2 linked regions of the Oryza sativa Japonica Group genome follow. The protein of the gene in region 1 binds, or shares a complex with, the protein of each later gene. Links are inferred from orthologs where the notes say so. Each region holds a gene or a part of one and is shown in the gene's direction. Other genes may lie near its edges.

Evidence for each region. The genes of interacting proteins can lie anywhere in the genome.
Region 2: large ribosomal subunit protein bL21c (region 1) and large ribosomal subunit protein bL9c share a complex: the UniProt entries of both Arabidopsis thaliana proteins name them as parts of the 50S ribosomal subunit. The link is inferred for Oryza sativa Japonica Group from reciprocal best matches to the Arabidopsis thaliana genes RPL21C and RPL9.

Annotation. Positions count from the first base shown.
Region 1 is NC_089036.1:9,031,061-9,034,814, reverse strand, and holds large ribosomal subunit protein bL21c, read left to right. Parts: upstream 1-1,300; 5' UTR 1,301-1,346; coding exon 1,347-1,649; intron 1,650-2,120; coding exon 2,121-2,201; intron 2,202-2,749; coding exon 2,750-2,851; intron 2,852-2,934; coding exon 2,935-3,009; intron 3,010-3,128; coding exon 3,129-3,212; 3' UTR 3,213-3,458; downstream 3,459-3,754. UniProt on the Arabidopsis thaliana protein: This protein binds to 23S ribosomal RNA in the presence of protein L20.
Region 2 is NC_089036.1:35,819,021-35,822,774, reverse strand, and holds large ribosomal subunit protein bL9c, read left to right. Parts: upstream 1-1,116; 5' UTR 1,117-1,135; coding exon 1,136-1,258; intron 1,259-1,925; coding exon 1,926-2,053; intron 2,054-2,403; coding exon 2,404-2,449; intron 2,450-2,718; coding exon 2,719-2,816; intron 2,817-2,900; coding exon 2,901-2,948; intron 2,949-3,050; coding exon 3,051-3,171; 3' UTR 3,172-3,237; intron 3,238-3,353; 3' UTR 3,354-3,591; downstream 3,592-3,754. UniProt on the Arabidopsis thaliana protein: Binds to the 23S rRNA.

The DNA of each region.
Region 1 (3,754 bases):
TGTTGTTTGATAGCCTTTGATGCGCTTGCATGGGCTGCAGCATATAGCAACAGGCCAAGCAATAGTGCGCTATACCTTGCATTGGCTACGGCTACACAGTCGAAGCAATGCCATAGAAATGTGACTACTGAACATGTCAATGTTCATTGTTGATAGAACTGGGAGTACGGAAGATAGTCTCTTTAAGATGGCTAGGTCAAAATATAAGCAAAGGAGGACTCAACAAGATTTGAAAAAAAAAACAACAATCAGGTCCTCCTCTGTCTTATGCCCACATTGGTGGTGACTGGTGACATACTTGATGGCAGTGGGTGCTACATGGACACGGCGAGCTACAGAAGATGTTGCCTTGACGCATTCCCAAATAGGGTTTCACAACAATAGAGGTTAAGGCCATGACAATTCATGAAAAGGTTCATCAATACCATAGATGAGTACATCCAGAGCTAAATGAGATTGTTCTTGGAGCAGAACCATCAAGGTCGACAACCTAATCGTTGATATTGGTGATAGAGACAAAGATTTCATGGCAAGTTGCATAAAAAAGCACCAAGAAGCTTACCTTATTAGGGCCTCCATAGCCTAAGGTTGAGGAATCCAAGCATATAGCAAACAAAACTCAACTGCTTCTTGAAGGTTTGCCACCAATAAAGAGGAAGAAAACTATCATCCTTGCGAAAAGCCTGCTGGAGAAAAGAAAGATAACTTGCCTAACTTCCCTTAACTAGGTCTAGCTTTCTCCTAACTCACGGTGATAGAGAATTACCCGGTGTTTTAGAGGGATACCACTAGAGAAGAAACTTCGATTGCCTTCTCCATGAAACCTAGGACTAGAAGGCCAACATCGCCGACCTTCACGCTCAAACTAAAAGAAAAACCCAACTAAATTGATTGACCTACAAAGAGAGAGTTTGTCGGACTTCTCTCCCTCACCTCGCCGGCGGCAAGGTCACCCGAGCCTGTGAGGAAGAGGGGTCGAGGAGGCGTAGTAGTTCAGTTTGGCTCTTTCGTCCGAGAGTTCACGAGAGTTCTCATCACTCGTGTTAATTCGCATATTCTTTATGGTCTAATCAACACATTCGATCCAACTCTTTTATAATCTTTAACTGATTAAATCAAACGATTCTAAACTTTAGAAAGGAGAAACAAAATGAGTACGTGCAGTATCGCTAAAAAACTAGTAGGGCATAGTTTCATGTTTTTCATGGGTATCTAATCTGAGCCGTTGATCTCCAATCGAACGGCTCAGGGTAACCTCCCTATCCACAATATTATCCCTCTTCTTTCTTTCCGATACGATAGCCCACACTCTCATCCACACTGCTCTTCCCCCCCGCGCGCCGGCCATGGCCACCGCGACGCTGCCCCTCCGCCTCCTCGCCTCCAAAACCCTAGCCTTCCCCTCCGCCCCGTCCCTCCCGGCCTCGCGATGCTCCCTCCCCGTCGCCGCGTCCGCGCCCCGCCGCTGCTGGCGGCTCCTCGCTTCCGCCGAGGAGCCGGCGCCCGCACCCGTGGAGGCCGAGGCCGAGGCGGAGGTGGTAGAGGAGGAGGAGGTTGAAGAAGAGGAGGCTGCGGTGCCGGAGCCTGTGGAGGCGCAGATCGCAGCCGCGGGCGCCGGGAAGGACGCCGACATCTTCGCCGTTGTCATGGTGGGGCTAGCTTGCCCTTGCCGCCAATATTTCAGATTTAGTCCTGCTCGGCTCACTGCAAACAAACAAAAAAAGAATCACATTTGTTCATGCTACATTACCTCGAATTCTTTAAATAATATCATTACACAGGCATTTGGCGCTAGTTGCGTTGCTTCTTGCGGTGAAGTGAGCATTTGATTTCAGGCTTGTGTTGCTTACTCTATGCTGCATAAGAAGCTTAGGATTCACGCGCCAATAGGAATGCGCGCACGCCGATTATTAGTATGTACAGGACACACCATTAAGAAAACGGCGCAGAGAATTACAGTGTTTTCGAATGATACAATACTAGTCTTACAGAGAATTGTTCGGATGCATTTCTGAAATATGCAGGAGTGCATCTGAGGAGGGTTTCTCTGTGTTTTGTTTTGTATGAGCGCTGTGAATAATAACGAGGGAGCTATTTTGATTATTTTTCTTCTGTCGCAGATTGGGTCGAGACAGTACATTGTGATGCCTGGAAGGTATATATACACGCAGAGGCTGAAAGGCGCCAATGTCAATGATCAGGTCTGGTGCTTCCACTTTAGAGGATGCAGGAGGATACTTGTTACACCCTAACTAGAAATTTGGCCTATTTTTGCTAGTTAGTTGGTTTGTATTAATCCATAAATTTAAAAGGTATATGATGCTGAGGTGGCTTCTAGATAAGGTGATTGTAAATTAGGAAAAGGCAAATATATAGTATTGGTTATTTGGTTATTATTCTTTTTCATCCATGAGATGCAATAACAAACTTCAAAACAACGAGGAAGGTTGTACATTCTGAAATTATGGAAAGTGGTAGTGACCTACTTCATTTTAGAAGTAAAAGAGTCACTTCCCTGTAATTATAACACTTCAATCCCAGTTCCTGATTTCACATAAATATCTTATTCAGAACTTTTCGATAAGTTTTGTGTAGCCTGCATATATTAGCTTCGTTCCTTTTCTAACTAAAATTACTCCTCTGATGCAAAGCTTCCAATCCCATAGGACCCATACGTTGGCTTATGTTGCTGGCATTTTTAGTATTGTTTTCCCAGAAATTCTCACTTCTGGATAATGCTGATGTGCAGATAATATTAAACAAGGTATTACTGGTATCAACTAGAGACAAGGCTTACATTGGCATGCCAGTGGTGACCAATGCTGCTGTTCATGCAGTGGTTGAGGAACAGGTATGTCCTCTGTATGTTGTCGGGTTAATCATGGATATTCAAAATTACTTGACCCTGATGTCTCCCCAATATTTTTATATCAGGGACGGGATGATAAAGTGATAGTCTTCAAATATAAGAAGAAGAAGAAGTACCAGAGGAAACTTGGTCACAGACAGGTAAGTTTTTCCAATTACCTTCTTCAAGAAAGGTAGAATTTTATTGATAAATACTGATTCAGTTTTTACAGCGAAGCAATTAGAGTTCTTTTAGATTAAAAATCTCTGTTGTTTTGCAGCCAAACACAAGGTTAAGAATTACCGGCATAAGTGGATACGAGGACTTCCCTGCTGACCCGATACTTGAGTATGTTCCAGCTTAAGAGCAATTGTAAGTTCTGTAGTTACAAACAACTGGTAGTACATTAGAATACGAGTGCTACCTTTTCTTGTCTGGAAGAACAGTTTTTGAACAAAATTTGCTTTGTTCATGTGTTCGAGTGCTGCCAGTCATCCAGTTGTTCCATCCTTTGTTTATTCCACCATCTGTTTTGTTCATTCTGATATTGTGTATCCTAGCCAACTGTATTATTTTCACTGTGCTTAAAAAAAGAGAGAGCATTTTACCACGATACGGATGTTTTAGCTTTGGTTTGTGTAACTTTATACAGTTTTTGTGACTACTGATGCTAATTTCACTGTTTTTGGCATCTGTACCAATGGTGCTTAGTTTATTGAACGGGCTATGTCCTAATATTTTGGGATCAGTTACAGTACTATGTTCAATGCAGTTCTGGTCATGATTTATTCGAGTGTTCTAAGAGAAGTTCTGCAAGGCCATATATAAGGTGTTTGTGTGCAACCTTGTACTGCTTAGGGCACATAAGCAGCTGGTTAGGACTTAGGCCATATAAGCATCTACAAG
Region 2 (3,754 bases), about 27 Mb from region 1:
ATGACATATACTCGATTATATACCCCTCTTCTCTTCGGTTTTCTCATCTCGTTGAGCAGTAGACATACTAATTCAATAAGATATATAATCGCCATTCTTTTTAAGAACGATTTGCTAGGTTTTTTTTTAATTTTTGTTCCTTTCGAGAAACAGGTCACCAGCTGGAGATCTTTGTCAGAAAAAGTACAACAAGATGATACTGGAGTATGATATACGAGGATGATATTTTGATGATACTCGTTGATAATTAAACAATGATACTTGATTATACTCTTTGATATTATTCATGAAGATACGGAGTATTTGCTAATACTCGTTCTTGCACATTGATACTTGATGATACTCGTTGATATTTGCTTATACTATTAATACACGTTTATACGTAATGGTAGCTAGTGATGTATCGTTGAGTTTCAAGATAGCACCAAAATAGTGTTATAATAATATATTTCTCGATTTATGTTATAACATGAATATTAGTGAAGGACCTAATATCAAATAATTAGAAGGGGTGAGGTTACGAATCCAGGTCATTTAGGCTATCACCTTGTGGAGCTAGCCGGAAGACCCCTGAGTGTTTCTCTTAATGTATGTTATAACATCTTGGCATCACATGTACTATCTATCTATCTTAGTAATATCGTCGAGGTATCACGTACATATATATCTCCTACCTTTCTCTATACGTTGAGTGGAAGGGGGTTACAATTTGGTGGATTATTATTACGACTTGTTTGGTATGAAACCATGCCAAAATATTGGCAATGCCAAATCTTGAGTAAATTTTGGTATTACTAAATTTTTGTTATTGTCTATTTGGCTTCACCTTATTGATTTAGCAAAATTTGACTCTAATTCAAATAGTTACGTGTTAACTATTCAAAGTTACCAAATAATTTATTTTTGACCTTTAAGTTATCAAAGAATTAGTAAGGCAAGAAGGAGCGCCAAACCAAAATGACCCTTAATCTTCAAGCCCATGACAACCCCGAAGAAAACCTTTGATACTGGGCCGATTTGAAAGGCCCAAAGCAGCGCAAAGCCCAAGAGAGAGGGCACCAAATCCGTTGGGGAAGTGGATAAGAGAGCAGCAGCCGCAGTTCCTTCCCTTCCCCCGCAATCCATCCCCAACGCCATGGCCTCCACGCTCGCCTGGAGCTCCGCCGCCTCCTCCTCCGCCCCCTCCTCCCGCCTCCCGCCGCGCCGCTCCCCGTCGCTGGTCGTCGTCGCCCAGGGCAAGGTCAAGAAGTATCGCCAGGTTTGGCTTCCACTTGTATTTTCTCTCCACAGTTGCAGCATGTATGTATGTATGTATTTAATTGCGATTCGTTCGAGCTAAGCAGTACTAGTACTGACTGATTGAACAAGCTGTTGCTGGTGATGCTTTTGTTTTGCCTCTTTTAGAACTAGCCATACCCAATGTACTGTCTGTCACCACCCTGTCCACTAATCAGTACAGTAGATTACAAAGCGCATGCGACTGCATTCCATCGATCGAAAAATTCGAAATGCAGCAGCTGTAAGCTTAAGATTACTGTGTGCATTCACACATCTGAGTATAGGAAAAGATACATTGCCATGGACGCATGCTCTGATGCAGTACATGGAAATGGAAGAAACTATCGTCATGTTTTTAATTAGGTGCCTCTTAGCATTGCAACTCAGATGCAAAAGTCATCTCTAATATGATTCTGTATATGCCCCGGAACGCCGGAATTGTTGGTTTGGCCATGCTGTTTGTTTGTAGGGAAAGTTGCAACTAAAAGGCATCTAGATACACCCAGTTCAAAATTTGCACCTGTAAACTGTAAAATGTTCCAAGCCTATGTCATCATCTTCCTTGTCTATTATGCATTTCTATACTTTAGCATGTAATGCACGATTCCGTATTTGATTTACTTCACTTGAGTTTCTTTTTCTCCCAGGTCATACTGACAGATGACATAGCAGAGGTGGGGAAGAAAGGGGACACGCTTAAAGTGAGGGCCGGGTTCTACCGCAACTTCCTTCTGCCAAAGGGCAAGGCAACGCTGCTCACCCCAGAAGTACTCAAGTAATCTTCTGTCTTACAGTCATTTACCACATCTCACGAATTGTATAGGCTATGTTTCAACCAACAGATAGGTGCTCCTAGTAAATTAATTGACGTATGCTTATGTTTCATCGTAGTTGGTTTTCACAGTATGCTGCAGGTGTAAATTTGCAGCTATTTATTCTGTTGTGTTAGCCATTGTATCTCTTGCCTCCTTGTGGAGCCCAGGATTGACATATAAATCTGCAAACTTTTATAGATGCCTATTCTGCATTTCTAGTTCAGTTCTTCTGGGGTGTTCAACATGTTCAATTAGTTCTTGTAAAAGGATGGCTAGTAAGCTACTTAATTTCCTCTGCTGCTGTCTACAGGGAAATGCAAGTAGAACAGGAGAGGATAGATGCTGAAAAGAAGCGGGTAAGTAAACCTATTATTCTATTTGTGGACTCAGTAAGAATTGATATAGTTGAAACTTATTCCTATTTGTTCCTGTCTGTCTAAAAACTACTGTGGTAGTTATACCCTACTAATCCTTGTTCTCCAGGGTACGTAGTTGTGGTTTAGCTTATTTTGTAAAAAGTCTAAAGCATGATTTGTTCCTACCAATATCATTTTCCATAAGAGTATAAGAACTTTCATCCAGTGTTAGCATAATCTTACCCTGTTGAGCATTTGTGCTTGAGTAGGTAAAAGAAGAGGCACAGCAACTTGCCCGTGTTTTTGAAACTATTGGGGCATTCAAAGTGCCACGTAAAGGTGGGAAAGGAAAACAGATATTTGGGAGGCAAGTTTTTATCGAGTAGATAGTTCTTTATGTATCGTCTTATTTTACTTGCACTTAATAACAAGTTTTTCTTCTATTCTACAGCGTCACAGCACAAGATCTTGTTGACATCATAAAGTCACAACTTAATAGGTATGCCCTTCTAAGTGCACTGACAATCACTACCTTTTAAGGAAGGATTGCGATGCTCTATTTGCTGCTGTTGCTTTGCTTACCGGAAACTATTTCATGTAGGGATGTCGACAAGCGTCTCGTGACAGTGCCAGAAATTCGTGAAATTGGGGAATACATTGCAGAGATTAAGCTTCACCCTGAAGTCACAGCTCAAGTAAGGCTGACCGTATATGCGAAATAAGCCCTGAAGCTGCTTGATTGAATCTTTAGTGGATGGTGGGCTTTGGATGAATTCTGATTTCACCAGGTAAGCTCATCTGCAAGGCATTCCATTGTTCCTTACCTTTTGCTCCGTTCTTAAGCTGTCATATACATTTCGTCAATTGTGTTAGCAGCTGAATTCATGCAATGATTTACTTGCAGAGATTTTTGCTGAAACTCCAAGGTGCAGTGTCACATCACGGGGCTTGGTCTTTACACATTGCCACTGTCCATCCTACCTGTAAAGTCAGTTTCTTGCACCTTTTTTTTTTTGACAAATTTATTTGTGTTAATGTTATGGGGTTAAATGGGCATGATGTAAACAACAAAGGGTTCAGAGTCTAGAGCAACTGATACTTGTCTTGTAATCTTGTTTAAAGGTGCACGTTCTTTATAGTCATATAGTTTGATAGAGCTACTACAATATTTGGGTTGGGTGGGCCAAAATGGCACGTAGGCAGTCTGGTGGTCGTAGGTTGGGCCGCTTGGTCGCTGTATTATTAGGCCCAAACATAGGGATTTCAACACATTTTTTAATGAAAACTTTCATCTGAAAAAACCTT